Drosophila melanogaster: one gene and its partner. The protein of the gene in region 2 interacts with the protein of the main gene of each other region in a biochemical or structural test. Each region holds a gene or a part of one and is shown on either strand. Other genes may lie near its edges.

Region 1 (5,351 bases), 810 kb from region 2:
ATTTGGTTGAAAGCCCTATGTAATTTGGGTTTCATCCTGCAGGCAGTGAATATTGTAGCGGCAAACTGCCCCAGGCGTGAAATTAACGAACGAACAATTTGTCAGATAGATTTCGAAACAATTTACATTTGACGAAATAAATTGCGCTCTAATTTCATGCTTCAATTTATTAAATATCACATTGTATCAGTTATTTTATAAAATCGCGTTGAACAAGGTCACTTTCCATTTCGACATATCTGTCGGATAAAAAGAAACAATGCATCGAAATATAACTTTGCGTTGGCCGTCCAATTAGTTCACACATATAATCTGTTGATAGATTGAAAGAGAAGAACTACAGTGCAAGGTAATCCCTCAGATACGGGTTTGTCAAATTACATTTTTCGCAACTTTATGGCATTGTTCGTTCCATTTTTTTTTTTTTCTTTTTTCGTCCGTCAAGGATACATTTTCAGCAGTTGGCAAATAGATAAATCCTTCAGGGCCTTGGCTGGAAAAGAGGTCGTCCCACGTACGTAGAGTTAGTAAATAAATAAATGCCAGCTGGGGGTCACCAGGTCGAGTTTGTGTGTGGGTCGTGTCCGGGTCATGTTTGTGTAAATTAGTGGCACAAATAAACACTCGACCAGTAGCTGCAACAGCTGCACGAATGACCATCACGACAGCATCCAGAAAAACACTCGATTGATGGATGGTTGATGTCTGACCAGGGACCAAGTTTAGATAATTGAAAATTCTCGTGATTTGCAGCCAACTGTTATTGAAGCCCGACCACGTGTGCGCAGCTTATGTCTTCCGGGGCGTATGAGAAATTTGATTTGCCAGCCTTCTTGACCCATTCTCGCTTGGCAGCCGACAATCGCAGTGCTCACAATCTGATTTTAAATGCCTGCTGACAGCTCAGTCAGTCAAAGGAGAAGCTTCTTGCCAGCGCAGGTGTGCAAGATGTGTTTGCCCAGCAAATTGAACCTAATGCGGCTCACGGATGGCATTTAAATAAGCCAGCTGCGAAGCTGTGGAGTTCCCCCAAGCCTTTTCCCATCCGCAGAACTGGCAAAACAGGCAAAAACAGGCCCCAAGCTACAGGATACAATGCGAAGACAACTGTCAACATTTAAATAAGATTGATCGATTGGCAGCGTCAACGGCATTGACATTGCCCCCATTGTGGTGGGTGTTGGGCCTAATGCCATCGCCATCGCCATCAGGGGCGTGATGGACTTTACACGCGCTCAGATTTCCATTAAACAGGATGCCCCACGATTACGCTGGATACACTTAAAAGAAAATAATTTGAGAATACCTGTGTCCCATTGCTAAGAGGGCATTTAATCCATATCCATTATTATTATGAATTATATGATTATTCAGAAGCTTTTTATATACGTCATAATAAAAGGGTTTGGTTTAATTTATTTATGTCATACTTTTGACAACCTATCAACTTATATTTAAATCTGCATCTGTGGGTTTATCAGTAAGCAAGCATTTAGCTCGTTTATTAAGCCGCTATAATAAAATATTTCGTGGCTTATCAACGAATACCTGCAACAGTCAGTTTAAATATCATCAGACTAAAGTGATAACCCGGAAATTGAGGTAAAGCCCATATAAAATTCGTATTAAAATGTATTTTTTGATTTTGTTGTAATTTTTCCCACTGCAGACTTTACAATTAGCTTCCCAATTTGAATGCCAGTCACTCATTGAATCCTATTTTTCACTTGCTCTGTGGGCGACAAATTGGTGGCGCTTCCGTTTGGGATTTGCCGCTTGATTCGCTTGTTTACGCTGACCAGCGGGCTGCCTTTTGGCCGGTATTAGAGTGCATAACAAATCACTTAGCACCCGTCCATCAGGGACCTAATCAGGCTCGCATGGGGCCGCTAGCATTTGGCTATATAACTTGCTATCTGCCGCGCTGCTGGCATCAGTTGTCCCGCAAAGCAGTCCCAAAGCGCAACGCGGTTCCATTCGATCGTCCGACTATTAAGTTAATAGTTCCAGCGCTTCCGGAGTGTCCTGTCCTGTCCTGGGAGGTCAGTCGCTCGTAAACGCCAGAAAACACCTAGCAGCGAACACAGTTGGCCCAGTTATGTGTGGTCCTAGTTATTGCACACTGCTGCTAATCGCGGCTTCCTGCTACATCCTTGTTTGCAGTCATGCGAAGTCCTTGCAGGTGAGTCTCGGGCAAAGTGGGAAAAATGTGGTGGTGTTGGTACTGTGGCTTGTTGGCCAAACAAGCGCCACTTAATTAGTGTTATTTGCCCAGGCACAAGTTCGCCAGCTTAGCGTGATAATTTTCAACCAGTGCTGAAATTCTTGGATTTTTGGAACGGAAATTTTGGGGCGAAAAGTTTTCACTTTGACGTGTGCCTTACAGCATTATGTGGCGCACTCGTTTCCCGTCTGTCAACTGCATTTGAAGTGCTACCAATTAGTTTGCAGATACTGCAACTATTTTTTTTTTCTGCCAGCAGGCAATCAATTGGCATCCAATTAACATTTCGGTTGCAATCGCAGCAACACTGCGTATACGTGTTGCGCAACTTATTCTCGCACCACTAATTAAAATAACTTTCCATGCTTGGCAGTGCAGATGTAATAAAACCTAGTAGGCCTTAATTAATCAAAAAGACATAATTATATCAAGTTTATGCATAGTTCATTGGGTTGGGAATTTGTGGTGTTGTATTTGGTTTTAGGTAAATTATATCGTTTGATATCGAATCCGCAAGTGTTTTGTATTAAATTCTGGACATTACAAAATGCTTAGTGTTATTACAATTCAAACTGTAACTATTATTAATTATTTAATTACAAACTTATTCTTTTTCGTTTATTGTCAGGGAATATTATACGAATATGTTTCATAATATTTTTATTTAAACGGGGAAACTAAAAGAAACTAAAGAAATAACCAATAAATTCACGACAGCTACAACATTGCTCTTTTTCATATCAGCTTAGAATATTGCAAAATATATCGACTGTGCTGAGTGTATTCGAAAATGCTGAGCCAAATGAAGGTTTAATATCAAGTATACGCCCACGCAGACATCCGCTTAGAGTGAGCGTTTATTGGCGAATTGCGATTTACAAGCCGATTTCAGGTGTTGGCATTTCAATCTACATTGAGTTGTCTAATCAAGCGGCACACGCTGATCTGCCTTCCATGCCTGGGTGTAAATTGAAACAATAAAGTGCTTGACTCGCACATTCACACTCACATCCATAGACACCCACACGCACACATACAGGCACACCCGCAAGTCGGTTGGAAGGACCTTTATGCGTGTGTGCAGCTCACGTACGAGTATGAGCATAAATAGGCGGCATAAAAATAACTTAACACGTGTCGACAGTTTGGCAGCGTGGGAACCCTCAGTAAAAAAAAACAACATCCTCCAAGGAAATATCTCAAATATTTAGCTCCTTTTTTCGCCTGCTTTTTTGGCCCCTGCTTTTATGGCATTTTTTATTTGTGCAGGGCACGAGCAAACTGGATTTGGGAAATCACATCAGCGCCGGCTCTGCCAGAGGATCATTATCACCAGCTTCACCAGCGTTGAGCGAGGCACGTCAAAAGCGCGCCATGGGCGACTACAAAGAGCTGACAGACATCATTGACGAGCTGGAGGAGAATAGCCTGGCCCAGAAGGCCAGTGCCACCATGCAGGTGGCTGCCATGCCGCCGCAGGGCCAGGAATTCGATTTGGACACCATGCCGCCACTGACCTATTACCTGCTCCTTCAAAAGCTACGACAGCGTAAGTTGCCTATGGACACCTGCTGAAATGTGAAGGATATATGTATGAAGAGGGCAAGTCGCTCTAATTGGTTTCCGAATCACGTTCCCATTTCACGCAACCATCTCCATAATGTTCGCATACTTTATACATAAGCTTTTCCTCATTTTTTGCAGAGAGAAAAACATAATATGAAAATGTTATTTTCATTTAATATGCATGTCGTTTCTTTACTTCACAAGACATTGGCATATTTAAATGAATATTTTATATTCAGAAAAAAAAGAACAATCTCCATACGTAATGACAATACCGTACAAAAGTCCGAGAAATCTGCAATTTTTACTAGAAAAATTCCTTCACAGTGACTTAGGCAATGTTCAATGTTTTTCAAATTGAGTTAACCATTCATTCATTTATGTTATTCAATCATGGAAACTATTACTTATCCAAAGAATGTTGGATACATTTGAACAAAATTGTTTGAAAATTTCGCATTCATTTTTTCCTTATCAAAATGCTTATACATATATTATGAAATACTCTCCCTATTTCCATTTGGACAGTGCAGAGTAATGGGGAGCCCGCTTATCGCGTGCGGACGCCACGCCTTGGCCGCAGCATTGACTCCTGGCGACTACTGGACGCGGAGGGGGCGACGGGAATGGCGGGCGGCGAGGAGGCCATCGGCGGGCAGTTCATGCAGCGCATGGTTAAGAAATCGGTGCCGTTCAAGCCACGCCTGGGCAAACGTGCTCAAGTGTGCGGTGGCGATTGAGTCACGACAAGGGCGCGAGGACATGGCACGGCACGGAATCGGACTGCGGATGGAGGACGGAGGACGAGCCCAGGACAAGGTTGAGGCCAGGCGACTGGCCCTTGAGTTAACATAACCAAGCCATAATGGCCAGCTGAATTCGACGCGACGCAAAAATAATCCACATATATGCATAGTGAATGACTACTCTACTAGTTACTAGCGCTATAACCCTGATTTGAGAGGAACTAATGATGTGTATATACCGTACATATATTTATTATTTATTTAAATAAATTGTGTAGCCCCCAAAAGTAGCGTTGATTTTACATTCCAAATGAGCCGGGAATTAAATAAACATGGCAATTTCATTAACGACCTGCGCTTCCTAGGGTTCTATGTCCACTATACACTATATTGCCATTTTCCAGTTAAATTTATGAGAATTTCATAACCAATGGTAGGGCGCGTAAATTGGAAAAATGCGGCCAACATCCGTTGCCACAAAATCGCCCATGAGTGTTGACCATGGCAACTGCCGTTTGCAGTTGGCCCATGTGTGTGCATTTTGACTGATAAAATATCTTGGTTCCCTTGCCGCGCCCTTTCAAAAACCCAGTGCCACAATTGTGGTCCGGTCAAAAGCTTCTGGCTTTATTTGGCCTGATGAAGCATAGAAAATTGTGCGGGGCTTGCAATGAATGCGGAAACGGAAACATTTTATGAATGCTTTTTCAGTGGAGAACTTTAATTTAAAGTATCCATGTTCTGAGGCTTTTATCAAAAGTAACTACCTCTTTATTTTACTTCCATAAATGCAATAAATAATTCGATGCTGTGCA
Region 2 (8,041 bases):
AGATGCCCAATTTCCAACATGAAATAAAAGCACTTCCCATACACTTTGGCCAACGGGTTGTATGAGTAATGTGAGCTAAGCTGAGAGCGTGGGCTTTTAAGTATCAACTACTCGTAAATAGTATGTAAAGGGATATTTTGTCCCAATAGTTCAATGTTCTGTGCAAGTCAAGGCAAAAGGCCAAGGACTCTCGCGTTTAGTTTAATTGCAACTAATTAGCCACAACTGAAATTACATGACGCACTGAAAAGTGCTATAAGCCACATTCGCAGGGCCCTCATATTGGCATCGTTCAAACAAGCTACGGCGAGCTAATCAGTGACTCTAGTTGTGGCCAAAACATTATCATTGTCATCTTACCCACTGCAATCGTAAATCAAGGCCAGAACCCAAGAGCTTGGACCAACTGCTGTGCCCTCAAAACTGTGGTCGACCCTTTTCGATTAGTATCAAGTTTTCCTTTGTCTCTGGCCCTGTAGGTGGCCTACATGTGTGTCAAAAGACATTATGCTAATCAGCATCACCCGTAGGCCAATTGAATCGTTCAGATTCAGGGAAACACACTAACCACTGGGATAACATGGCGTATACGGTATACTTGTAAAGGTCAATAGGTAAAGCACTAATATTGATTATCCCTACGCTTTCATCATTTACTGTGGAGCTCATGAATAAGCCAGGAAATCGACTTTCAGATTGCGGACAGTGATTATTTGGGCCAACATTAATTTAACGCTCGTTTAATCGCATTTACGGCGGATCAAAGTGCGTGGAAACGTGAACTTTTTTGGTATCTTATTGCTGCACAGGACAAAAACAGAACTATGTTCGTCACATAAACACATTTATTTTCTATTAAAAATGTATTGCTTACAGCATATTAAAGTACATTTTACATTTTTTTATTACTTCTTATTGGGCACTTTTTAAATATATATACTCGTGTAAGAATTACAACATAAAATCTTCAAAGCCGCCCGCAGGAATTTCCTTTATATACACAGGCCTTTTAGCCAGTCTCGAAAAACCTGATTGTGGTCACGCTCCAGCAATTGTGCATATTTACCGCGACCAGACAACCATGCCAAATTGTACTGAAAACTCTACTGCCAGGCGTCTTCTCTTCCCACAAGATAAATATCTTTAAGGCCAGAACAACAGGCGGCTTTTACTGAAAGCGAGGCACACGGCGAACTGACACCAGAACGGCGGAGGATAATGAAAACAAATCCACAAATCTGCGGACAAGGGCCGACATTAATATGCGGTTCGGCATTCTGTTGGTCAGCGGGAAATCAGGCCTCATGTACTGCAAAACAAACACATTTATTTTCTTACTTTATGATGTACAAACGGCTTTGATTTCTCATTTGATTCTCTGACTCTGAGGTCGGAGAGAAAACAATTGCGACGGTCGCCTTTGGCAATAAGTATTAAAACTAAGTGCCAGTGCTTTTGGGCCATTTGCAATTTCAATTAGCCCGGCGCTACGAGCGATTCAATTGGTTCGACTGCCCCTTATGGCTGCGCTCTATTAAACCGGATGCCAGCGACATTACTCATCCGACAAGTAAGCCATAACTTACGGCGACTGAGAAGCAGACGGAGTCAAGGTGAAGTGCATGAATTTATGAATGAAATTAGGACCGAATGTTTGTGTCCCTCACACAGTCGCAGAAAGGCAGACAAACGCGGAGAGCCAGATGGCTAAGAACCGCTGTTAGTTAACATTTGGCTAACAGAAACCGTCGACAAGTGCCACGATTGCCGCAAGGCAACTCAGTCTTTCACGGACTTTCCTTCAAATCGGACGTGTGCGATTACGAAAAAATTATATTCGAACCAAACAGATCCGTGAAAGTGAAAAGAAATATAAAATATTATAAAATATATTAAATAGTGCACAAAAAATGTAAAACTTATTTTCTGCAGAAAATAATATTATAATGTATTTAAATGAATTCTTCAGTGGTTCAATAAAAGTCGCTCAAAACTCCCAAGCCATTTTCCACTGATTAAATATGTCTCAATGATTGGCTAGCAAAGTGCAAAACTAATTTTCCGTTCGGTGAATTCGTTTTATTGAAAGCACAAGGGTTAACAAATCCCCAGGCGGAAGTTCTTAAACGTTTCACAACAATACAAAAAAAAAGAAAAGGGGTAAAGAAACACACACCTTGTGCGACTCAAAAACGAATAAGGATACGAGTTGACAACAAAAAAGGAGACATTCGCGTAGCAAAAGAAAATACACTTTTGTTATTTAATCTAGCCTTGGTAAGAATCAACAATCATGTCGATGGCAATTTATTCAGGACCCAATCTGTTTGGTTCTCGGAATTTAAAAAACTCTCTTTCCCATTTAATAAAATTGCTTACCTTTGGCAAAGGCAAAGCTTAATTACAAAATGTTAAGGCATCGTCCGCATGGACAGCTGGGCAATGCAGCTAGATTGTGGTTTAAACTCATTCTCCAATCGAAATTGAATTGCAAACCCTAATATGGTCCGCGTGGCATTGCGTTGCCTGATTGGATTGTGTAGAAGCGATCGGAAGCGCACATTTGTACACAGACTCTGAATTAGCCAACGACTCCCAGTCCACCGACTCTGTGTCCAATCATATCTAAATCAACTTTTACACCTGAATTGGCAATTCAATTATTTTTCCAATTAGTTGGCGTCAACAAGATGTCGCTGTGATGCTGACCACTCAAGGTTCGTAGGCTCACTAATTGCGTAGCATACTTTCCGGGGCTTTTAAAACGACTATTCGCAAGAAACAACACTAAACGAACCGGAAACATTATTAATTAGACGTATCAACCAAATTTCTGGCTATAAGCCAATAATCCAACTTGGCACTAACAGTGACTTGGTGTTCCGTTACTTGGTCTTTGACTTCTTACCCCAGAATATGATTCTTGGCAGCAGGAGAAACCAGTACGACTTGTTTTGGTCGTATTATGAGTGAAATATTACCACTCATGTCATTTTGAACGTCTTTAAAGCTCACACCCTTATGGACCCATTATAAGAATATGGCGTGGCAAAATTTCCCATTTTTATCGAGGCTGGAAAAACTTTTCCACACATGCAATCATGTTTCGTTTCACTTATCATGGCTAAAACCTAGCAAATAGAAAAAGTTTTTTTTTATCCACAAACATATCTGTATTGAGTGCCAGCAATCTGTATTGCTTTAGCTTAAGATGTTTACTATTAATAGAGCCAAGTGGCAAATGACATACGGCTTACAGAGAAAATAATTTCCAATTCAATTACATTTACGTACATATATTCCTTCCTACAAGCAGACAGGATTATTGATCTAAATATAAATAAATATATAATAATTATTTTAATAATATAATATTAAAATGTAGATTAACAGAATATATTTTTTTTGTATGAAAGCCTCTAGGGTATTTGTGTGACTTTTTTCTCTCTGCATAAGTGAAGATGTTTACTATTAATAGAGCCAAGAGGCAAGAGAAAAGTGGCAGCAATCAAGTGCTTTTATTTCGGGACTGCATGTTAAAGGCGATTTCCTGATCGAAGACTTTGGATACCTGATGCCATCCGTCTGAATGTGACGTCAGCCTGGCTGGGGATTCAATTTAAATTCATCCTTGAGTCTAATGACTTTTAATGTTGTTTGCTTCACAGGCGAGTGCGCAATTTTTGGGCCTGTCGTCGACTGCTTATCGGCTATGTGCCACCGCAGCCGCAAAGGATACGACAGACAATATTAATAACGCATTGATACGAGTGGGCGGCCGATTTGCTTTTGTTTTTCTTTCCCAACTTGGCGGTGGAAAGGAGTGGTGTGGCGTGGCGTGGAGTGGATAGAGTCCACAATTAATCGACGACAGCTAGTATGTTGCAAGGCGTCGCCATCACCATAGCCAACGACAGCAACGATGATGGCATCAATCAATCATTCATGGCTCATGTGTCGCCCAGTCCCAATCAGAGTCCCTCCATTGGAGTGGGCATCGGTATCGCCTCATCCACAATGGCGAATCCCAGCGAGAGCCCCGAGATGTTGCTGCTGAAGAACGACAAATTCCTAACACATGTCGCCCATCTGCTGAACATAACGACCGAGAATCTTTCAAATCTCCTGGGTTCCACGAACGGCACAAATGCGAGCACAATGGCAGCGGATTCGCCGGTCGACGAGTCCCTGACCCTGCGAACAGCCCTCACCGTTTGTTATGCACTCATTTTTGTGGCCGGCGTGCTGGGTAATCTTATCACCTGCATTGTTATATCGCGAAATAACTTTATGCACACGGCCACCAATTTCTATTTGTTCAACCTGGCGGTTTCCGACTTAATACTGTTGGTCTCAGGTGAGATGGCATTTTTGAGGGACACCATTGCGTATGCGTAATGCGGCAAATATCCTGCAGGCATCCCCCAGGAGCTGTACAACCTTTGGTATCCGGATATGTATCCCTTCACGGACGCCATGTGCATCATGGGCAGTGTGCTCTCGGAAATGGCCGCCAATGCAACGGTTCTCACCATCACAGCATTCACTGTGGAGCGATATATAGCAATCTGTCATCCATTCCGGTGAGTTTTTAACATTTAAACGTTATATATATTTTAAATATTTATTTACATTATTAAACAAATGTATAATTTCTTCAGTGTTATTGCCTCGCTCTCATTAACAAAGTGGATCATGCATAATTAGGACAGAGAATATGAATAGATAAATTAAACTTGATAAGCGTCAGTCGGAAACATTATGATATGAAACAACAAAAGTACCTCACAAATTATGGGCACAATAATTATTCATAACTAAACAGTCTGGCTGTGGAATGATAAAACAAGTTAGGCTTGACAACCAAATTCCCATCGTTTTTAAATATACCAAATTCATTAGCTTTCATTTATAGACACTAATTAAAGTCAGGTCCATAAATGAACCAAGTTCATTACAGACTATGTAATTAAGTTCCAATAAATGCGTTGTAAAGATAGAAAGTTAGTTAGTCAATTAATTGCTTAGTACCAACATATTTGCATTTTTGGAATGGTACAACAAAACTTTTCCTTATACAGGTATCACCAGTTCCTTCCAAATGTTCTGACCATTTTGCGGTCAAAGAATACAACAGCTTCCTTAAGCGAAAGCGTCTGGTTTTCATTTACGATGTTGCATTTCCTTTAGTTCAGAAACTCTTGAATAGCTAGAAGAAATGAAACTTAAAAACCTTACATTGTTGTTTTCAAACACAATTTCCGTTTCTTAGCATTTTTCACAAATTAATTGTTACGAATACAATCACTTGGAGTATGTCCTTAAGAATATGCAGACACAAAAGGGTGGTTTTCTATAAGAAGGGATTCCAAGTCCGATTACAAAGTTAAGGCAAAAAACTTTCATGTCTCTGAAGTTGGGATTAAATATTGTTGTCGAAAAGAGTAAAAGGTTTCTATGTTTGCCATTTAATAGTATTATAGTTATTTTGAAACGAAAGGATATTCGGACATGTGCTTAGCATGAAAAAGGTCTGAAACCCATTGCAGTCACTTTACCAAAAGAAGTTAAAAGTGATGTCTATTAAATTTGGTATGAAACTGTTTGAATTCCTTCCCATTTACACCCACATTCAAAGTAAATATTTATGTTGCACTCAATATCCCAAACCTTAAAGAGAAAGTTAAAAAGCGTAAAAAGTGTAGGTGGTCACTGCGTGTACTTTACAACCGTAATATTTTCCATCTTATATCTGCCCACGTTTATCCGAAACATCGACATCATCTTGTCCTTAATACTTAACATATAATGTAGCCTAATCTTTCCGTCATTTGTAGGCAGCACACCATGTCAAAATTGTCGCGAGCCATTAAATTTATATTTGCCATTTGGCTGGCGGCCTTCCTTTTGGCCCTTCCGCAGGCCATGCAATTTTCGGTGGTCTACCAGAACGAAGGATACTCGTGCACGGTGGGTGGGACTGAAATGTGAAAACCAACTGACGCATCATCGAGTGTCCTTTTCGCTGTTTATTCCCTTAGATGGAAAACGACTTTTACGCCCATGTGTTCGCCGTTTCGGGATTTATTTTCTTCGGTGGACCCATGACGGCGATTTGTGTACTGTACGTGCTGATCGGAGTGAAACTGAAGAGGAGTCGACTGCTGCAATCGCTGCCGCGAAGGACTTTCGATGCGAATCGCGGCCTAAATGCCCAGGGACGAGTCATCAGAATGTTGGGTAGGTGAGTTAAGTTGGCGGCTTGATTGATTAAAGACAGCAATATGCCCCACCGCCAACCAGAAACAACAAGAACATCCACGGCTGTCAAAACTTTTTCCGCCGAAAGTCTTAAATTGAAAATTACTGTCAACGTATTTGCGTTGGCGAACATCAAACAGGGAATTCGTCATAGCCCCGCCCTCATTGCCTTCCGCCCACTTCATTTGCACTTGCGTCATGTGGGCTGAACGTGCTTCTGTTTTTTTCCCTCTTTTCCCTCAACGGTGTCGTTAATTTTTCGCAAACATCGGTGCGTATGTGTAAAGCTCTTAAATGGCCATCTAGCCTATGAAGCAAAGGTGAAGCCAGGTGTCACCTCAAAAGTAATCAAGCCGGGGCACTTAAATGAACTCAAGACTGCTGGGTGCACACAGCAAGCTTAAATATTTGTAAAAAGTGTTTCTTGAATCTATAGACATATGTCCGTTAACGTGCCACGTTATAAGCTGTTAAATTTTAAAGGAATTCAGCACACATCTCGTGTATTATTCACATATTTTATTTATATAATTAGAAATTCTTATCAAACCATACAGTGAATAAATTTAAGTGTAAATCCAGGCCCAATTTTAGATCCCAATAAGCCGTTTTTTCTTACAGCCTACGAAACAACGTTTAATTTACTGTTGCTTTTAACTGAAACACCGACCATTGATTTCGAAATTTACCATTGGCCCTGGCCTGCCAAATGGAAATTGATGGACCAATTCAGATTAAGCCCAGAGCCTTAACCATAAATTAATTTGGCCAGCAAGAGTGGAAAAAAAACACACCCGTTCTCAGGGCTTAGTTATTCATAGATAGTGGGATATTATTTATCGTTTGCTAAGAGGTAATACCTTGGCTTTTATCAAAATGTGATATTTTACCAAAGGCCCGTTTGCGCAAACTATTCGATTTCGGGGGATATAAAAGATTAAGACCACTTTCAGTGTGAGAGAGCCCCTTTTCCGGTGACCTAGTTGTTCAGGGGTCTTAATACGTTGCTTATCCTTACTTGACCGTATTTGCAGTAGCTGTAGCCGTCGCCTTCTTCCTCTGCTGGGCTCCATTCCACGCCCAGCGACTGATGGCAGTTTACGGACTGAATCTGATTAATATAGGCATCAGTCGGGACGCCTTCAACGATTACTTCCGGATACTTGATTACACGTCCGGGGTGCTCTACTTTCTCTCCACCTGCATCAATCCGCTACTGTACAACATCATGAGCCACAAGTTCCGCGAGGCCTTCAAGGTAAGCCCATGGGATCAACCCTTCTCAGTTAACCACTTCATAATAGTAATCTATTATTAATTGGGTCCTTCGCATGTTTGTGAGGACGGTCACAAATGCAGATGCTTTTAAAGTTAAATTTAAGCTTTAATTATTCAAAATTGTTTTTCGTAAATTAATGAATTGGTAATCTATGTATTTTTTACACTTTTAAGATCACTCTGACGCGACAGTTTGGTCTGGCCAGGAACCACCACCACCAGCAGAGTCAGCACCACCAGCACAACTACAGTGCCCTTCTCCGCCAGAATGGATCAATGCGTCTGCAGCCGGCCAGTTGCAGTGTAAACAACAACGCGCTGGAGCCATATGGATCCTACCGAGTGGTTCAGTTTCGTTGCCGGGATGCGAACCACCAATTGTCCCTGCAGGACAGCATTCGCACCACCACCACAACCACGACGATAAACAGCAACAGCATGGCAGCCGGAAATGGAGTTGGTGGTGGTGCTGGTGGCGGTGGCGGTGGGCGGCGTCTGCGGA

Evidence for each region.
Region 1: of the proteins of PK2-R1 (region 2) and Hug, one has a biochemical effect on the other in vitro, tested with the Drosophila melanogaster proteins (one study listed by BioGRID).

What each region holds. Positions count from the first base shown.
Region 1 is NT_033777.3:12,524,258-12,529,608, forward strand, and holds Hug (hugin), read left to right. Parts: upstream 1-1,930; 5' UTR 1,931-2,098; coding exon 2,099-2,182; intron 2,183-3,493; coding exon 3,494-3,773; intron 3,774-4,318; coding exon 4,319-4,530; 3' UTR 4,531-4,819; downstream 4,820-5,351. UniProt on the Drosophila melanogaster protein: Probably has a role in larval molting.
Region 2 is NT_033777.3:13,336,291-13,344,331, forward strand, and holds the start of PK2-R1 (pyrokinin 2 receptor 1), read left to right. Parts: upstream 1-2,039; 5' UTR 2,040-2,277; intron 2,278-3,668; 5' UTR 3,669-3,879; coding exon 3,880-4,357; intron 4,358-4,417; coding exon 4,418-4,583; intron 4,584-5,837; coding exon 5,838-5,970; intron 5,971-6,041; coding exon 6,042-6,240; intron 6,241-7,295; coding exon 7,296-7,519; intron 7,520-7,713; coding exon 7,714-8,041.